Drosophila melanogaster: one gene and its partners. The protein of the gene in region 3 interacts with the protein of the main gene of each other region in a pairwise test. Each region holds a gene or a part of one and is shown on either strand. Other genes may lie near its edges.

Evidence for each region. The genes of interacting proteins can lie anywhere in the genome.
Region 1: the proteins of DCP1 (region 3) and eEF1gamma interact in a two-hybrid assay, tested with the Drosophila melanogaster proteins (one large-scale study listed by BioGRID).
Region 2: the proteins of DCP1 (region 3) and aqz interact in a two-hybrid assay, tested with the Drosophila melanogaster proteins (one large-scale study listed by BioGRID).

What each region holds. Positions count from the first base shown.
Region 1 is NT_033777.3:29,217,989-29,223,619, reverse strand, and holds eEF1gamma (eukaryotic translation elongation factor 1 gamma), read right to left. Parts: upstream 3,449-5,631; 5' UTR 3,420-3,448; exon of another isoform or gene 3,416-3,419; intron 3,357-3,415; exon of another isoform or gene 3,351-3,356; 5' UTR 3,324-3,350; coding exon 3,312-3,323; intron 3,191-3,311; coding exon 3,041-3,190; intron 2,978-3,040; coding exon 1,844-2,977; 3' UTR 1,511-1,843; downstream 1-1,510. Other genes in the region: Brd8 (bromodomain containing 8), read right to left, coding at 1-50; Cisd2 (CDGSH iron sulfur domain 2), read left to right, coding at 281-377, 851-1,074, 1,139-1,219. UniProt on the Drosophila melanogaster protein: Microtubule binding protein involved in regulation of microtubule-based transport. Probably plays a role in anchoring the EF-1 complex to other cellular components.
Region 2 is NT_033777.3:8,813,673-8,823,111, forward strand, and holds the start of aqz (aaquetzalli), read right to left. Parts: upstream 7,011-9,439; 5' UTR 6,640-7,010; exon of another isoform or gene 6,256-6,639; intron 5,966-6,255; exon of another isoform or gene 5,946-5,965; intron 5,592-5,945; 5' UTR 5,049-5,591; coding exon 4,191-5,048; 3' UTR 1-4,190. Other genes in the region: CG8369 (uncharacterized protein), read left to right, coding at 8,426-8,453, 8,797-8,994, 9,052-9,110.
Region 3 is NT_033778.4:23,887,337-23,892,486, forward strand, and holds DCP1 (decapping protein 1), read right to left. Parts: upstream 2,941-5,150; 5' UTR 2,857-2,940; coding exon 1,738-2,856; 3' UTR 1,428-1,737; downstream 1-1,427. Other genes in the region: CG5597 (uncharacterized protein), read left to right, coding at 538-728, 789-1,066, 1,145-1,409; DNAlig1 (DNA ligase 1), read left to right, coding at 3,260-3,276, 3,334-3,396, 3,452-3,742, 3,803-4,435, 4,491-5,116.

The DNA of each region.
Region 1 (5,631 bases), on a different chromosome or scaffold from region 3:
TCCAGCGGCATGCGGCTCAGTTGCAGGCGCTCTTGTACCCCGGCAGACATTCTAAACTGCAATTTATTGATTTCAATCAATAATTCGTAAACAAAACAGAATGCTATCGATGACTACACACGAATCTGTAATACTGCCTATCGTCGAAAATGCAGTGTGACCCTAGCACTGCGATACCGATAGGACTGGCTTATCGATTTGCTAGCACCGCTAACCGATAGCAACACAAAAACAAGTTTTCCGAATTTAATAGCCAGTTAAATAAAAAAGGCGTTTCGAAATGGAGCCCATATCACATCTGGTGAAGTCCTCGCTGCCCAATTACTTGTCAAGTCTGCCGGTTCCCGACAGCATCGGCGGCTGGTTTAAGCTCTCCTGTAAGTTTGGGCAATGAGCGTGGTTTTGCCCATTGGAATTTGATTTGCCTTCAAAGGGCGCCCCACATAAACCCAAATCCACGATAATGACGCAGCATCTAGGGGGGCCAACTAAATGGACTACTAAGGTGCAAATGTGGCGTGATATTGCGGAGCTGCTAACGGGAATTGGAAGTGCAGTGTGTGCACTTCCAGGCAAAAAAGTTGCAGCGATTATGCAACAACTGCTGAGCTCGCCAAGAAATTTATAATTGGAGCAAGTTTGTCTCGCAGATAGGCAACTAGATAGACGCATAATACAGGCATACCAACATGGGTATACCTATAAACATATATGCGCATATCTTGGTGCGTTTATAACCCAATATGTGTGTAGGGAACGACCTTGTGCCGGTTACGGCTGATCGACCAAAATATCTAGTTATAAAGCTTAAAATGCACTGCATTCCGTATTAACCTGGTTTCGTTTGCAGTCAAGGATTGGTTGGCCCTGATCCCACCCACCGTGGTGGTGGCCGGACTCGGCTACACCGCCTACCTGGCCTACTGTCCGGCGGCACGGGCCAGCTGCGCGGCCAAAAACAGCGGACGCTGCAACAACCACATCCGCAAGAACGAGCCCAAGGTGGTGGACATGATCGACGTGGAGGATATTGCGGAGAAGGCGGCCTTCTGTCGCTGCTGGAAGACCAAGAACGTGAGTGCATTCTAACCTCTGAAATATTGTGAACAAAATTTTCAATTGAATCCTCTATTCGCAGTGGCCCTACTGCGATGGCAGTCATGGCGAGCACAACAAGCAGACTGGAGACAACGTCGGACCAATTGTCATCAAGAAGTAGATTGCGGCGGTGCATCGATACACAAACGTTCTAGCATTTCCTCTCGCTGAGCTCCAGTTTGCTTTTAAAACCAATAGTAGTGGCCGAAGCTGTTTGAACCCTTGTAATTGTAAGCAATAATTGATGATATTGATGGATTAAGTTAAAAGGAGCCAATAAAATTGCCCAAACATAAATTCAAATCGATATGCTTAATTCTAATTACTAATAAATGCCAGACCTAACCTTTACCAACAACCAAATAAACCACACACACACATACACACACGTGTGAGAGAAAACCGTGCTGTTATTAATAGAAAACCTTTTATTTTTTATAAATATTTTCTGACTGCAGGCGGCTGTTCCGTTGACAATATCATGCTGTGTTATGCTTAGGCGGTTACAAACAAATTCTCCAGTACAAAATGCAGGAGGCGAGACACACGATTCCGCCAAACGTGGGAGGCAGCACGACAGATATTGGATATCTTTAGTGTACTTATCAGTTGGAACTTAAGAAATGGGCATTGTGCTCTTCCTGCATTTTAAATCTCAAACTTTATTGTTACTGCTGCTGTTGTTGTTGTTGGTCTAAATGAGGGCGGCTGCTGCTTTGAGCGGAGCTGGGCTAGGCAGAGATGATTACTTGAAGATCTTGCCCTGGTTGAACTTGCGACCGTCCTTGTCGGTGCCGGACCAGGAGAAGTACTGGGTGACCAGCTTCTTGGTCTCCTCGCTCTTGGCGTCGAGCTTCTTCCAGTCGTAGACCTCGTAGTCGATCTGCCAGTCGGGGGAGAGCGTGAAGGCCAGATCCTGTCCGCGCCACACCCAGATACCGGAGATGGTGCTGTTGCCGTCCTCGCCGAACAGGCAAACGGAGGCGAAGGCCGCCTTGCGCATCTTGTCCAGACGCTGGAACATGCCGGTGATGAGATTGCACGACATGAACACCTTGGACAGCTCCTCGTTGTATTTGTACTCGCCAAACCAGATCGAGTAGTTCTCGGCATCGAACTTATCGAAGAAGTAGGGAATGGACTTGGCCTCGTCCTCGTTGGAGTACACGCGCTTGAAGTCATCGAAGTTGAAGGTGCCCTTGGGCAGCGCATCGAAGGGGTCCTTGGACTTGGGCTCGGCGGCCAGGGCCTCATCGGCGGCGTCCAACTCCTCGGCGGGCTCGGCAGCCTTCTTGGGCGCCTCCTTCTTTTCCTTGGGCTTCTTCTCCTGCTTCTGCTGCTGAGCCTGCTGCTGGGGCTTGGCGGCTCCGGTCTTGGCCTGGAACTCGGCGTACTTCTTGGGGTCGAAGACCAGGGCCTTCTCGCACAGCTTGTAGTCCTTGACGACGGCCTGGACCTGCTTCTGGTTGAGGATGGTGACGAACCAGCGGTTCACGTTGCCGAAGGCACTGCGCACACTGGGCTCCAGGACGTACTCGTACAGGTGGAGCAGACTGCTGAAGACCACAATGTCGGCCAATGTGATCCTCTCGCCGGCCAGGAAGGTGGCGTCCTGCAGCTTCTGGTTGAGCTGCTGCAGCACAGCCTCGGCCTCTTGCTTGGCAGTGCTGTTCTTCTGCTGCGGCAGAATGCCCAGCAGGGGGAAGACCCAGGCACAGGAGGCAGGCACAATCTCGTTGTCGGCGAAGGAGATCCACTGCTGGACCTGGGCCTGCACGAAGGGGCACTTTCCGCCGCGCAGCTGCTCGTTGGCCAGCAGGTAGGCGATGGCATTGGACTCGCTCAAGTACTGTCCTTCGGCGGTCTCAAAGGCGGGCACCTACGGGCACATATCGTGTTGATGACCTGGCACTAGCCACACCCACAAAAAAAGCGGACTCACCTTGCCACCGGGGAACTTCTTGAGGAACTCAGCCGACTTGTTGGTCTCGCCGAACTTGAAGTTGTCGGCCACTTTCACCTGGGCTCCGGAGTACTGGGCTGCGATGAGCGCCTTGTAGGCCCGGAAGTTCTCGGGGTAAGTGTACAGAGTCTGCAAATATGGGTGGATTAGTTGTGATATCGTGGCAGCTAACCGGCATCTGGAAATTCGCAAATTCACATGGCTCGAAGCCACGGATTGGAAAATCCTCACTGCCCTTGTGCGTACGTACTCCTTTCACCATGGTGGATTCGCCGTTTAAATCGTCTGCCTGCAAATACAGTATTAAATACGATATAGTGGCAAATTCAGCGAAAAAACGCGGAGCACACGCACTCACCGGAAACGAAGAAGAGAAGGGACGGAAACAGGGCTGCAGGAGTCATCATGGTTACGGCGATATATCGATATTTCCTAGGCCATTTTGGTCATCGATGATTTCTATTCGACCTCGATGTTAAATTATACCTAAAAACATAAATCATTATCGTTTTTGGTATATTTATTTATCACATTTCAATTTGTAAATAAAGTCCAATAAGTGGGGTTTCAATAACAGCGTGCTGTTAAGCGCAAGGCGTTCCACCACTAACTGATCGTTAGTAAGAAAGATCCAATTTCAAATAAGGTGCGTTTATTCTAAAACGACCCGTATTTTTTTGAATTTAAAGTGTTCCCCTATGAAGATATCTGTGATCTCGTTTTATATTTATATTTAGCATACTGTTTAGTATTGCCTGATATTTCATAATTTAAATTTAAATACAGTGTTGTAAAGGGAAAACATAATCTCTGCGAATAGCAGCCTAATCGATGTTAACAGCAGCGAACTATGTTAAGATGGAAGATGAATTTAAGGAAGATTTTTAATTTAATATAAAAACGTTTTATTTATATTACAACGTCAAAGAAAGCAGTATTTGTGAAGTTTATATATTGTTGACATCCTTAAGTTCTTCTGTTGTTTAGGTCAATGATCTGAATATTGAACATTTTTTATCTCACATTAAATATTTGCCGTGTTCATAAACCAAGAAGCCAAAGACGACGCATTACTTAATGAAAACCATTACAGGTACTTTATTTAGATGCTACAAACATGATCACTACGTTCCCCCCACCCCTGCAGAATGCATCAGCATCGAATCGATCGAGGGCCTTCCTTCTCGACAGCATCCTCTTTTTTTTCCGAACGGAAATGCCGCGCATTGGGACGGACTGAGTGACTGAGTCGGTGTCCCGGGGATCGGGGCAAACATTTTTCCAGCTGCCGCCGTCGTAGAGTTCAAGTTCTGCATTGCTCTAATCGCTGCATTGTCATCTTCTCCAGCTCCAGCTCCAGCTTCTACTCTGGCTGCAACTCCAACTCCAGCTGCAGCCCCTTTTCCCAATCACCGCTTGGCGAAGTGCAGGCTTTCGCTGCTTGTGCTTGTTCTGAGCCGATGTTGCTGTTGATGCAGTTGTTGCTGCATCTGGTGGTGTTGGAGCCGTGGGTTGGTATGAGTTGGTATTGCCGCGCTTGTGGGAACGAGCACACATAGCAGGAAAACTATTTTCAAATTGGAAAGGTTTTGCACTTCTCCAACGCGCCGCGTTCGACGACGACAACCTCTTTCTCGTTAGTTTGTTCTTTTAACTATTATATCAATTAGTTGCGGCGTTTGACGGCTTCTTGTTGCTGCTGCTGCTGCTGTTCCTGATTGTTATTGCTGCTGCTGCTGCGGCTGCTTCGACCAGGAGGAAGTGGAAATCCAGTGCAGGGAAAGCCAGCTGCCGCGGCCGTTGCAACTGAATGCGCTTCTCGGCTTTGCCACCGCCGGTCGGGGTTGCAAACTCGCGGGGCCCATATTCATTTAGAAAATATGTAAATAAGCCAGCCGAGCCGCCGAAGTGAAGTGCCCTGCTCTCTCCTCCCTGCGGTGCGTTGGCATTTAAATGAGCGTGAAGCAAATCGTGTGGGAGGAGTAGCTTCATGGCCGTGCAGCAAGTGGCCATACAGTAGCCATCTATCCCTAGCCACGGAGCACTAACAATGGCCCACGGGGTTGAAAGGTGTTCCGGCTTCATTCCTTTGGCCTGAAATTAAAATTGGAGAGCAGCGAAATGCTGTGTTAATAGCGGCAGCAGGTGTTACAGTTACACTCAAACGCCCACGCAACAGAACGCACATACATACGTACATATGTAGGTACATGTGTATGTGTCGTCTTGTTGTCGTTGGCAACAACAACTGCACCGGAAAAAACATTGTAGATTATCCGTTTTAAGTATGATCTTTTACTTCGATTATTATTTTACTACTTCCTCTATTTTAATAGCACTTTCTAGCATTTTGAAACGAACTCCATTCAGCAAGCTTTAAACATTTGATAATACAATTCAATTGACATGACAATCTTAACGAAAAGGTCGTTTAACTTTTAATAGAAGTGTAACAAAAACCTGTGGATTGTAAATAGATTATTGTACAAGTACAAGGTATTATGGATCACTAAGACATTTGCTACTGAATGGTTTTCTGTTGAATTTGCGTAACTAAATAGTTCGTGGTT
Region 2 (9,439 bases), on a different chromosome or scaffold from region 3:
GGGGTGTTTTTTGGGAGGGGATTTACACATTGATTGTTTGATCGTTAGGCAATTGTTTGTTTTGTTTGAGTTTTAACTTGACTTTGCTGCTAGCTGAGCTCTCTGGCTACGATCTTATCGGTCGTCTCATATCAATTTATGTATATAAACTTCTTAAACATGTATGTATCTATTTTGTGTAGTGGTGATGTGGTAAAACTTTTAAACATTTATCGTTATCATGCTGACTGCTGTGTAAGAATCTATAAAATGCTTACATGTTGTTGCGTATCTATATAAATTTCCTCAACGCACAATGACAATTCGCACTTATTGCATAGTTGTTAATGGATTCGCCGATCCGATTGCGGTTGCATCTACTCAGAACTAACATAGGAACAATCAGGATAGTTTTTCACATCGAAACGGAGTTGGAAATGGTTCTATTACATGTATGCCCTTCGGCTCTGTAAAGTTGCTTATCGTTTTATTTTACTTTGCATGCATTTATGTCGCAATATCTGGGTGTTTGTGAAATCGCAGCACAAATGCAGCTGCATTTATATATGTAATATGTATGTATGTATATTTATATGCATATGTACTATATGCGCATTTTCCTTTGTTTCGATCTCCTAGCAAAGCGCTTTTTAGTTTTCAATTTTATTGTGGTTCTTTCTGTCTTTCTGGTTGCTCGCTTAGATATCGTGCTCAAAAACAAAAACATGTGAGAACCTCGTAGTGGAATTTTTCGGAGCACATGTTGTTCGAATCGTCTGGAATGTGGAGGGGGTTATGATTCTCTACGGGGGGTACGGGGTATGGGGATCTTGCCGATTAGCTCTGGAATTAAAAGTGCCAACGAAAAACTGTACGTGATAACGCAAATAAAAACACAAATTTGTGGATTTTTTTTTGGTTAATCATACAAAGCCTTCATAAATTTCTTTACGAAAGCCATGTACAATTGTTTATTTCTTTTTTCTATTGTTTTGTTGTTGTTGTTTGGTTTGTGGGGTTTTCTTTCTTTTTTCTCAAATTTTAAAAGTTGACTTGGATTTAACACATTTCCAATATTGCTTTACAATTCTTCTCAGATTTTTATTCACAATCGTTTCTATAATTACAATATAGAATTGCGAGTTTGCTCTTCATATTCGCATTCATCTTATGGTCCATTTAAGGTAATTGTAAGGGTATTTAATTAATCGTTTTCTCTTCAGTTGTATTTGTTTTTAATTTGTATACATACCAGGTTTAAAAATATAGCAAAGTATCACAAAAAATTGCAAATTAAATTGTAAATTAGATCAATGGAGAAATTAAAAAAATACATAGTGCTTGGTTGCTTTCTTTTCATTGTTTTTAGAACGACGAATCATGTTTCGGCTTAAATAAAAGAGGTTAAAAATAATATTCGAACTTGGTCGAATCGTCGTCGTTACGCTTTAAATTTAAATTAAAAAATTGAATTTGAATTATAATTTCAGAGGCCTTCAATTCGCAGTCGCCTTGGTTGGGGACACAAACGCCTTGGACTCGCAGCATGGAGAGCTCCGCCGCGATCTTGTTTCGGGCTCCCAACATTGAAATGGAAATTATTTTGTACTGATTGGTGTTGAAAAAGTCAGCGGGCCGGAACGTTTGTGCCCACAGTCCAAGGCAGAGCGGGCGAATCTGGGCTGTTTTGGTCTGTTTTAAGTAAAGTGGTTTTCTCTTCTTTTGAATTTTACAAATAGGTTTTGCATCTGTATCTCTATCCTGCTTCAATGAAATCTAAGCTGTTCTCCGCTTAAACTGACGTCCAGTAAGTAACAAACGTTTTGCTTACACTTAAAAAAAATGCAAAATTCTGCGCGACAAGTTTTGGGTCTTTCTGTGGGGTGTGTGTGTGTGTGTACTTCGTATGGAAAGGGGGGTAAATGGGGGTGAGCTGGGGCTTGCCCGAGCACTGCTCGAGTGACCCCTGCGATTCAATACTCTAAGTAGTGGGTATGTTGGTGGATGGGGTGTACTTGTAGTGTAACTTGAAGATACAAGCTTTAAAGCTACCAATATATGACAACTTGCTCAGTAAACCTAAACAGTACTTGACTTTTTTGGCTTTTCAACATTTTTAAAACTATCATCGAGTGTTTTGTTATAGTTTCATATCTTTTCATCTCTCATTCTCGTGTTTCATAATTTAGATGGTTCGGGAAGTTAAACAATATGCGTAAACAAAACTCAAGTGCGATCTTATTTCTGGGATTTTCCACTATCATTTACATTTTGGGGTTCCTTTTGTTTTTGGCTTATCACTTCGGTGCCAATTCACTTGGCAAAAACACATAACAAAACTCACGCTGCCTCTTTCTACGCAAAATACAAATAACTTTGGATTGGCTGAGGATATCTGGAAGTGTGGGAGGCTTGGGATGGCTTAAATAATTTACATACATATTAATATTAACAATTAATAAGTAATGCTAATAATGAAAATAAGGTACTGGGTTCAAGTGTTTCAGTATTGAGCATCAACGAATAGTTTACATAAAGTAGTTTCATTTCATTCTCATCTCGCGATTACTATATCTTTTCCTCTCTCGTAAAGCCTTCGCTTTGGGGATTGCAACTTATATAGTTTTTAGTTGTTTTCACAATTGTTGTTTCCGCTCGGCGCAAGATCAAACATATTTTGGATTAAATAAAATCTTGCTTGCGCCAATAGCGTGCTACCACATTTACAAGTGCTGATCTTCTTATGATCTTATTCTTATTGTTTATCGATTTCTCGTTTTTAGAAAATTTTATTTGAACATTTTAGCGTTGTTCCCTTCTATGTACAATTCAAGAATGTTTAAATTAGAATTTTTTAAAGCCATTTCGCAATTACACATTAAGAATAATTAAACATGTTTGCAGTTCGCATTTGTAGCTCAGTATTTTTGGGCAATTGCTTCCCTATCGCGCGACGTAAAACTAAAAGTAATGGAAGTATCTAGGTTGGTCAAAATTACAATACAATTGTGGATCAATATATCTTAAGGTAGAGGAGAGTTACAGGTGTTGATTTGCTTTTCATAGGCAAGTTGAGTGCATTTTGCGCTGCGGCTCTGCTGCTGCTCTGCTGCGGCGGCTGCGTTGAGTTGTTGTCGTTGAGTTTTTGTTTGAATTAGTCTTTGTGATTTGGTGGGTATACGATTTATAGTAGTTGCATTATTATTATTATTAGTTAATAGGTATTATCGTGTCTCTTGAATATACTCTGTTAGCTTTTGCTGCTCTCTGCATTTATTCTTTATCAACATTTAAGGTACGTTGCACATTTTGTCCGCTTTTCGGGGGATAAACATAAACTGTACGTTATGTTGCGCTTCTAGCGTCCATTTTTGAATTACTCATAAATATTATTATATTTATAATTTTACTTATTAATTAATTTTCAAGTCTATTTGCGTATCACGTTTAAAACAATGTTCAGTTGTGAAGTATCCGTTGTTAGACATATAAAGTTCTTCTTCCTCTAATCGGGCTTTTCCTTCGCTTAAGTCCTCTTTCCATTTGGTTTTCCTTGTATTTCAGCCAGGCATCCATTGAGTGTTGTACTGGTTGCAGTTTGTCGATTGGCTGGCTGTCTCTATAAAGATTGCGCATTGAAGTTGACAGGGGAGTTTTGGAGTTTGGGGGAGATGTTCTATGTAGCGGGGAATTTTGCATCTTTTTCGCTGTGTTGATTTGTTCTCATTGTCGTTCGTTGTTGATGTTCTTTTTTGTCGGTCGGTTGTGTGAGGACAGTAGTTTGTGTGTTTTTTACTTGTATTTTGTTTGCTTTCAGTTTTCTTTTCTTGAAACAGTTTTTCTCTTCTCACCTAATAGCTTCTCAAATTGGTTTAATTGTTTTATGATACACACTTGAGATCACAAACATTACTCTTGTTTTTTTTTTTTGTTTTTGTTTAAAAAAGTTCAAATTTCCAGTTGAAATGTTTTCGCTTTTTTTGTAAAAGTTTTTTCATTTTCCATTTTTTGTTTTATGTTTTTGTTAATTTTTTTTTGTTGGTTTTATGTTCATATCGATTTTTTTTTGCAACTCATTGACGGGTTCGGGGTCCACCGGGTGTTCTTGCCATTCATGTCGGTCCTCCAGATCCATCTTCAGATCCAGCTCTAGATCCAGATCCTGTTCCTGCTTTCCTACTCCAGACACTGATCCTCCAGCACCAGTGTGGTTACGACTGCACATTGAGCAGCAACTTTAGGTTGTGCGTGTCGAAGTCATCGAGGAGATTCCGCTTCGAGCGGCCTGTCTGCATCGGCACCTGGAACTTGGGCATCGACGGCATCATCATGGGAAGCTTACCCTCCGACCTGGACAACGTCCAGTGCTGCGGTGGCTTGGGCAGCGCCGTTGGAGCTGGTGCATCAAAGCACTTGCTGCCCGCGAAATGCGTCAGTGCGGTGGGTATGAGTGGGTGCTGCTGCATCTGGTGCTGGGGCGATATCTTTCCGCCCAACGAAGGGCTCTTCCTCTGCTTGCGAGCCGATCCTCCGACGATTCCCGGCGAGAAACCTCCACCCAAAATGGTGGCTGGTGACTGCCGAACCTGCATAGCTCCCTGGGGCGAACGTCCTCCTCCGTTCCTTCGGTTGTTGTTGGCAAAGAAGAAGCCTCCACCGCCTACAGAGGATCCCTGCTGCTGCTGCGGCGACTGGCGCTGCTGCTGCGACTGCTGATACTTGTTCTTGGATCCGGTCGACTGGGACTGCAGTTGCCGTTGCCTCTGGTTCGGGGGCGTGGCAAGAGCGGATAGACCCAGGCCAAAACCGAGACTCGTGGGCGAGGAGCTCAGGAATTGGGCGTTATTTGTACTGCTGGCAATACTGTTGGAATGTGCAGTTACCAAGGGCGTTGCTGGTGCGGATGCGGATACGGATGTGGGGGAGACGGGTGCGGATGTGGGCGAGGGGGTGGATGAGTTGGATGCGGAGGTCGCTGATGCTGCTCCCTTTTTTAATCGTATGGACTTGGTGGCCGATGCGGTTGTCATTCTGATGTTGTTTCTAACGCTATTGTGCGAGTATGTCATAGTAATTTCGTCGCTTTCCGATCTCTGGATCGATATCTCTCTCTCTCCGATCTCCTCTTCTCTTTCTCTTATTAAAATTTCTGCTGTTTTCCCTTTTTGTTTTTGGTTAATTCGCTAAATTAATGCTTAACGTTAAATATCACACGCACTTAAATCAATTCTTTATAAATCGAAACCAAACGCCTTCTGATTCTGATTCTGATTCTGCTTCTGCTGCTATTGCTATTGAGATGTTGATCTAGCTGCGCCGCTCTATTTTCTTTGGTAGCTGATAGTCGCCGAAGTTGAGATGACCTCCAAAATGGAAACGAAAAGGGCGACGGGCGGCTGAGCACGTAGCTGCTTTTCCACTTCTCCTTTATGTTTTATGTACAGCTGTTGTTTACTTTACTTTTAGTTTTACTTGTAACGTTATGTATTGTTTATCAGTCTGTTGATTTATTTTTTTTTTACTCCGGTTAAGCTATCCTTAGCTATAATTTCGCAAACTCTCTGTTCTTCGCTGATTTAACTGCTGCTTTCGCATTCCAAGCCGTGCTGATCCTGTTTTTTGGAGAAGAGCGAAAGAAACCATTGAAAATTCGAAACGATACATATTGGCTTATGTTAACAGGAAAATAGTTGAAGTCTTATTTCTTATGAAACTATTTATGAAATCAGCATCAACCGCATTAATTACAATGCAGTTTATTGAAATACATTCTTACGTTAAAAGGTCTATATTTAAATTTAGGTTGAGTAAGAAAGATAATATGTACATATACACATGGAAAAAACGTCAGTATACGACAGAATACCTTTTTTACCTCAGTACGAAATGTAACGTTCCAAAGGTAAAACAAAACAGTTCTATTTCGATGGCCGCGTGTGTGTGTGTATAATAAGAAACGGGAACCCGAAAAGGGGAAATAAGACATGTAACGATTACATTTCCAGGTAGCAACAACCTGTAACGTAGTGCTAACTACGTAACGGCTGCATTATCGTTTTAGCGTGTGACTGTGTGTAGACTGTGTGTGCTATTTACGTCAACAAAAGGTGTTTGTTTGGCTATTCAAGCAAACTTGGGACGTCAGAGGGACGACCCCACATGTATATATAAAGATACATATGTACATTTATTTTGCGAGAATACCTGAATTAATGAATCAACACACACACGCGCATACATACACACGCAGCGATTACTAACACAATTGCGACTTACTTTTTTGCCGTAGACCTCACACCAACGAGTGTGCTTGCGTGCGTGTGTGTGTCGCAGTTTTCTCAGCCACTTCGTTATACAGATTTCGATATTTCGACAAGCGTTATATACAAAATGGGTTGAGTTTGGGTTAAAAGTTGCCTTGATTTGGATGTTTCACTTTAAAATGTTGCGGAAATTGGTTTGTTTTGCGTTTTTTTTTTTGCTCTTTTCTTCGGATTTTATTTGGGGTTATATGTGGATGTGTTCGCAGCTGTGTATATATATGTGTGTGTGTGTGTTTTGTAAAATCACTTTCAAAATGGCGACGGGCTGGCTTCGTATTTATATATTTATATATATATATATAGATGTAATTCCGCTTAAAGCTTTCTCTTCACTTACAGACAAAGGCTCAAAAAAATCACACTTTCAACTGATTCTGATTCGGATTTTGTTAAACTCTTATGTACACCACCGTCTATTGCGCAGCGTTTATTTCGAATTTGATTTCCGTTATTTGCGCTCGCCAAGTACTCCACTTTAGTGTGTGCTCTTCTGTAGCCTCACTCGTTGTACTTCGACGCGTATTAAAATATTAAACTTTACACAAATATTTGATTTATGTCACTTAACTTAGAACATTTACAATATGCGTTACATATATATTTATTTTTGTAGCAGAAATTTTAATCGATATCTTTATCTTCTTCGCTTATGCTTGTTCTTTGCGCATCGGTACGCTTGCCTCGAATTTTCCACCATGACTCACACAAGCGCACGACTGCGCGGACTTTTATATGCCCGCAGCGGCATTGCCAAGCCTAAAAAATAAATTTCCCTCTTTATGTATACATCGAAATATGTTTAGGCAACTCTGGGTTCGAGACACGGGTGAATCAGTGGATACTCAAGCCGGAAAAGCTGGAGGCCTGTTCAGACATGCGGCGACCGCGGTTAGTAAATTAGTAATTATTTTTTATGACCAACCTATTGTTTTTACTCAAAATAGTCAATGTTGTGGATTCGGGACTTGCACGTGAAACAAATGTTCAATATTGGTAAAACAAATTAAATCTACCTGTTTTTGATTACTACCTACCTACTAGAGTTGTTACATCTGCCGTTATAAGAAAACAAAGTACGCGGCAATTTGAAATTGAATATAATACGACAGCTGGCATTTTGGAATGGATTTCGGCCTAAATCCGGATTATAGTTATCTTATGTAAATAAATATTCAATTTGTTTTAGTTTGGCGCATAAGCGGTTGTTTTTGTATATCATTATATGAATAGTTAATAAAAATTGTGCATGTAAATTCAATAGATTAAGTGCACGTAAAATGAGAGCATTACGTTTGCAATTAAAAATTAAGCCATTAAACACGAAATTGAATCAATTAAAGAATGTCATCTTCTCCATATTCGGATTACTGTCTTAATTTTAATGGTTGAAGCTCAAATTGAATTCAACGCCCTTGCTATTTTTGTGTTTTTGGCAAATAAATTAGTGTTACACAATCTTTTTAAAAGAGAAGATAAATGTGATATTACATTTTATTGAACAGGATCAGTTGCACATATCTTTTGAAATCAGCCGAAGTAGCTGAATAACACAAGTAATTACCTTATACAAATTCAATGCATCAAGAAATCTGACACAATGGGGTATAGTGGGATGCCCCGTCAAGAGGATAAATAAAATAAAATAGGATGATGAGAACCGCTTACAACCGGCGACGCGTGTCACTCAAAACCCGCCCATGCTCAGATCCAGCCTGATCAAACCCATTATCTATCCAAATTGCTGCGACAGCATCGTCATTATCATCTCGTTGACCCACCATTGTTATCCCCCGTTGGGTTACCCATATAAACAAGTGCACTTTATGTTTACTTGCTTGTTTTTAATACACACCGATCCGCGATTGTGTGGGTTGAGGTGAGAGATACGATTCCTATCACACTTACTTATATGTGTCGCCGGTTTGCCCATTTATACATATATTCTGCGGCTGTGTCTGTGCTGCTTTTCTATTGTTCATGAGTCCGGCTTTGTATATAAAGGTGATCAATCTCGCAGTCTAAAATTCAGTTCACTTCAAACGCGACTCGAAGCCGGTTTTTGCGAAAGTCAAATCTTTTTTATTCTAGTTGTGATTTCGTGGAAATTTCGATTATTATTCAAAATGCGTTTCGCTCTGTTTGCTTTTCTAGGTACATAAAAACAACTCTTTCCATTAGCATCTATAAAAAATACAAAGGGTATAGTTAGTTTAGGGATCGAAAATAAACAAAATTATAAATACAATTTTGGATCAAACGAAGCAATTTGTTGTATGATTGGAAAGTGCAAAAATAATTGGCTATCCATTAAGACCAAAAGCCCAAATGAATGATCTCACGGACAGAATTATATTCCGATCTACAAAAATATAATTTGCTCCGAACGGTGATGCAATTAAATTAAATAAAGTACTAATACATATTTATCTAGTTTTCATTTAAACAAACATAATTGAGCGGGCTTAAGAATTTTAACATGACCAAACTTATTTAGCACTGTGCTTGCTGGCATTCGTCCTGGCTACTCCGGCCAAGGACACCAAGAAGCCGGCCACCAACAGTTGCCAGCACAACTGCGGTGAAGTCTACGAGCCCGTTTGTGCCAAGGCCAAAAACAGCAGCAAGGAGCGCCTCCTCACCTTTGGCAGCCCGTGCGTCATGGCCAACTACAACTGCCAGCATGCCGACGATCGTAAGAGATCCTCTACAATATCCTTACAGAATTAAATATGATTTAATCCTTTTGCAGCATTCGAGCAGAAGTCCAAGGGCGAGTGCGGCGGTGGAGTGAGCGTTCGCCTGTCCTAGAAGTCCAATTTCAACACTTTTGACGATTAAACATCTTTCACTGATTGTGCAATAATATATTCATGTATTTTTTATTCCAACGGGAACGCTTTATTTGTTTTCGACACAAGCTTGTATTTCGCATAACAGAACGGAAAATTTAATTAGCTCTCGGGACTACTTAGAATTCCCCTACAAAACACACACGTGCATATGCATTCATACAAGATCAGTTCCAGCTATCCTTTAGTATCAATGACAGACGATTCCTAAACTTCTATGCACTTATCAGCAGTCACGCGGCCAATCTGCAATCAAAATCAAAGCATTAATCAGTTGGTATGATTATT
Region 3 (5,150 bases):
ATATATAAACAATATATAAACAATATGTGCAGATTCGATTATCCTTTAATTTGTGGATTTGAACGGGCTGAAGGATTTTACGTGCAATTATTCGTGTTCGAAACTATATGTTTTTCAATGTGGAAAAAGCGCCAGTGGTTTTGAAGTCGGAGCAATAGATGCTAAGTGGAAAGCAAAAGATTCCAGCGAAAGGAACCTAATAAAATTGAACAGAGTTTTCAGAATTTTGGCACACATGATGACAAACTGCCGAATGAAAAATGTTCAATTTTCTAGCTTTTGTTTGTTATTAGTGTCTATTTTTAAAACGAAACAGGCATCCGCTCATCGCGTTTTCGCTTCTCGTAAATATACGCTTTCGCCAAATTATATAGATTTTTGTGTACAATGTGTTTTGGATTTGCCTGTGCTGCATATGTACATATATTCCAAATAATACCGCGCGTGTTCTGTAATTTCGAGACCTCGTCGTGCTAAAAGCTTTTCGTTTCGTTTCTGAATTCTGCGTTCTAATCAGTAATATTCGCTCTCCCCCAGATGCGCTATGCTATCCCACGAGGGATGAGTCCGAGGACAAGATTATAGTCCTTCAGAACGAGGAGATGGAGCCCACGATCCTGGACTGCGACTACGAGGTGGAGGAGAGCCCGAAGTTCATCACCGTCAAATGGTACAGAGACGACAAGTCCATATACCAGTGGATCTTCGGAACACCTCCATATGCCATCGTGAGTGAACCAAACGGTGTGGTGCGCTTAAGATACTAACCGCTTTCCCCTCCTTGATAGCCCGAGTTCAGGAACGAGATTGACAGCACCTATGAGAGCTCCACGGAGCCGAGCAAGCAGTACAGCTCGCTGGCTTTGATCAACCCCACGATCGCCACCACCGGCGACTACAAGTGCGTGGTGCAGACCTCGCTGAACACCTTCTCCAGCCACCAGAGGGTTCAGGTCATAGACCTGAGGAACTACACCCTGGAGCTGTCCCACAAGACGATCCACAATGAGACGCAGCTGAACTGCACCGTGACGAACGTGTATCCCAGGCCCACCATCACGATAATGTAAGGACGAGCGCCTGCCTTGTCGTAAGACAGCCTTGTAGTAAACAACGTCCCAACTCAACTCCGCTCCTATTACAGATCCAACGACATGGACGTGGTGAAGCGGGAGCCCATGGTGTACGAGAACGAGGAGGGATACTTCGATGGCAGCGCCGTGGTGGCGGCCTACGACACCGACGACGATCCCGATGCCTACCAGTGCGTGGTGTCCTTCGAGGGATACGGCAAGAACCTGACCACGGTGGCCACGTCCGCGGCGGCGGGCAGGAGCCACGTCGACTTCAGCCTGTGGCTGTTTTGTTTTCTGTACTACCTGCTCTGCAAGCTGAAGGTATTGGCCTAAATAAAAGCGTTGTTATTTATTGTTACTAAATTAATGTTTATTGAATTCTGTTTGCCATTCAACTACCTTTTCTACGCCCCTTCGGCCTAGTTAACCATTTTGTAAATAAATACGAATACTTCACAAAACCAACTACGTTAGTTAACTCTTAAGGTTGCTCTGGAAATGGATGCCGTCCTTCTCCGGCGGGGCTTCTAGATTTTAAATCTACGACTGCCCTTGTCGGCTTACAGCTATTACATTTTGTAAATTAACTCGGCTTGAACTCGAACTCCATGCGAACAAATGAAAATATGGGCTGCAATTCGGAAATGTTGAATATTTCTGTTTATTGATATGTGGAGCTGGAGTCCAGCAGTAGATTGGAACAGCCGTTCAGGTAGGCCTTGTGCAGCTTGTTGGCAAACTCCTTATCGTTCTGGATAAGGTACGTGAAGGCCTGGACGAACTGCGTCGAGTTCAGCAGTGGCTGCTGTGGCTGCTGTGGCTGCTGTGGCTCCGGATTGCCGTTGTTGGGCGCGTCGAACATGGTGGGCGGCATGAGGGCCGGCCCGGGCTTGTCGCCAGCCAGCAGTCTCCGCAAGCACTTGCCGGCATCGTCGTTGGCCATCAGCGCCGACGAGGACGGGGCGACTGTCGGAGATTGAGCCGTAGCGTAGCTTTTACCGATCTTCAGGTCGCTCAGGAGCTGAATGTTAAGCTGCTGCATCTTCTGGAAGGGCGACAGCCGGCTCTCGTGATTGTCCCTGCCTGCCGGGGGCAACAGATCCTCGCCAGGCGTGGCTGCCCGCTGCTGTTTCTCCAGCTGGTCCACGGAGAGCGGCTGGACGCGGTGGAACAGTGACTCTGCCGTGGCCTGCTTGGCCGATTCGAAGAACTTCAACACATTGCCGGCCGTTACGTTCTCCGCCGAAGGCGTCTTCGGCTGCCCGCCGCTCACCTGGGCATTGTAGTCCTTCTGGGCCTTGGTCAGCATGTTGAATATGCTGGCCGGCTGGCTGCTGTCCTGCTTTGGCTGCTGGGGCGCGGAGACGTGACGCTGGGCCTGGCCATTCGTTCCCTGATCCTTGGACTTGAGCAGCCCGTTCACCAAGCCGCTGATGCGGTCGCACTCCTCGCTGTTGTAGAACCAGAAGCCGCGGATGCGCGAGCGCTCGTTGCGGTAGAGCAGGAACGGCGGCTGCGACTGCAGCTCCAGGCTGCCGGTGATGGGCTCCACGAAGGACGTGGTGTTCAGTCGGTTGTTGATGAAGATGCTGTGAAAGGGCTCCGCGTTGCGGTGGTATATGAAGAAGGCTCCCTCCACATCGGTCTTTTCCCACTCGTTCTGCGACGAGTTGAACGTGTAGAAGGCGACGTGCGAGGACGAATCCACGATCTCCTTGGCGTACGGGTCGATCTTCTTGATGGCCGCCAGGTTCATTCGCGTGATGCTCTCGTCGGCCATTGTAAATTGTATGTAATCTTCAGTTTTGGCTGTGCTATTGCGAATTGCAATTATTTGTGAATTTAACGGCGCTCTGGTCACACTGCCCCGTGGATGTTTTCCCGTGTTTATCAACGACTGTGCTGCGGTCACACCGAATGACAATAAACTCTTCCTTTTGTCTATTAATGATTTGTTTGAGAAATATTAAGTCGATTGACTTGCATATAAAAATGGCCACAATTGTACGTAATAATATTTCTCAATTATGTAGCATAAACATTTAATTTATGTTTACTAATAAAATTTTCAACTTCGATAGCATTTCCATTTCAATATATCGATACTGAAGACCAGCTCTAGAAACTGGCGGGAACTAATTGCATTGCAATTTGTATTTATTTGAACACAGAATTGCCACAAAATGCAAAAGTCTATAACGTAATTTACGATTTAACAAATGCTAAGTATTGCCAATCTAACAATCCCCCGTTTCAGCTCCTTCTTCAAGAAGAAATCCGATGCCACCGACAGCCCCTCGCCGCCCAAGAAAGTTCCTAAGTAAATGGTGCCGCTGTTTTCTTGTTTCATTACTAAATTCCTCGACAAATCATAGGATTGATGCGAAGACCGAACTCCCAGATGAACCCCACATCAAGAGCGAAAGTGCCTCCCCGGAAACTAAGCCCAAGGTAGAACCTATGTCTGTGGATTCCGAGGAGAAGACAAGTCCGGTGAAAAATGTTAAGAAGGAACCAAAGGAAGTCGATGACAAGACCACTGACAAGAAGGTCACAACCATAGGTCTCAACTCCACTGCCGCTACTAAGGAGGATGTGGAAAACTACGATCCATCCGCCGACTCCTATCATCCGCTCAAGAATGCCTACTGGAAGGACAAAAAGGTGTAAGTAGTGCAGGATTTTGAGCCTCCAAGGCGAATTATATCAAAGGAAACACTTTCCAGCACTCCCTACTTGGCACTGGCCCGCACATTTCAAGTAATCGAGGAGACCAAAGGCCGGCTCAAGATGATCGACACGCTGAGCAACTTCTTCTGCTCTGTGATGCTGGTCAGTCCGGAGGATCTTGTGCCCAGCGTCTACCTCAGCATCAACCAACTGGCGCCCGCCTACGAGGGACTGGAGCTGGGCGTTGCCGAGACCACCTTGATGAAGGCCATTTGCAAGGCAACGGGGCGTAATTTGGCTCACATTAAATCGCAGACGCAGCTAACCGGGGATCTGGGCATCGTGGCCGAGCAGTCGCGCGTTTCACAGCGCATGATGTTCCAGCCAGCGCCTCTGAATGTGAGGGATGTGTTCCGGAAGCTACGCGAAATAGCCAAGCTATCCGGTCAGTCGAAAATGGACCTGGTGTACAATATGTTTGTGGCCTGTCGATCGTCGGAGGCTCGCTTCTTTATCCGTTCATTGATTGGCAAGCTAAGAATTGGCATTGCAGAGCAGAGTTTGCTCACAGCGCTGGCCATTGGTTTGGTGAAAAAGAACCACATCGATGATTGCAAGGCTAGCAAGGTGCCGGATGTGTATAAGGATGAAATAGTCGACACCACTTTGCTGTTGAAAACTGCATACTGGTAAGAACTAACTTAAGAACCAGCTAATAATTCAGATGCTAACGAACTTTTGCAGTCAGTGTCCCAACTACGATATCATTATACCGGCCATTCTAAAGTACGATATTAAGGAGCTGCAGGAACGCTGCCCCATGCATCCCGGCATGCCGCTGAGGCCCATGCTCGCCCAGCCCACCAAGGGGGTCCATGAGGTATTTGAGAGATTCGGCGGCATGCAAATCACCTGCGAGTGGAAATACGATGGAGAGCGGGCCCAAATCCACCGCAACGAGAAGGGGGAGATCAGCATATTCTCGCGCAACTCCGAGAACAACACGGCAAAATATCCGGATTTGATTGCCAGGAGCACTGCCTTGCTCAAGGGCGACGTAAAGTCCTACATCATAGACAGCGAAATTGTGGCCTGGGATGTGGAGCGCAAGCAGATTCTGCCGTTTCAGGTGCTCAGCACGCGCAAACGGAAGAACGTTGATATCGAGGAAATCAAGGTCCAAGTCTGTGTCTACATCTTCGATCTGCTGTACATCAATGGCACTGCTCTGGTGACCAAAAACCTGTCGGAGCGTCGCAAGCTCCTGTTGGAGCACTTTCAAGAGGTCGAGGGCGAGTGGAAGTTCGCCACTGCTCTGGACACCAATGACATAGACGAAGTGCAGCAGTTCCTGGAGGAGTCTATCAAAGGTTTGCCCTGCCAACCAACCTAAAAGTTGTTTAC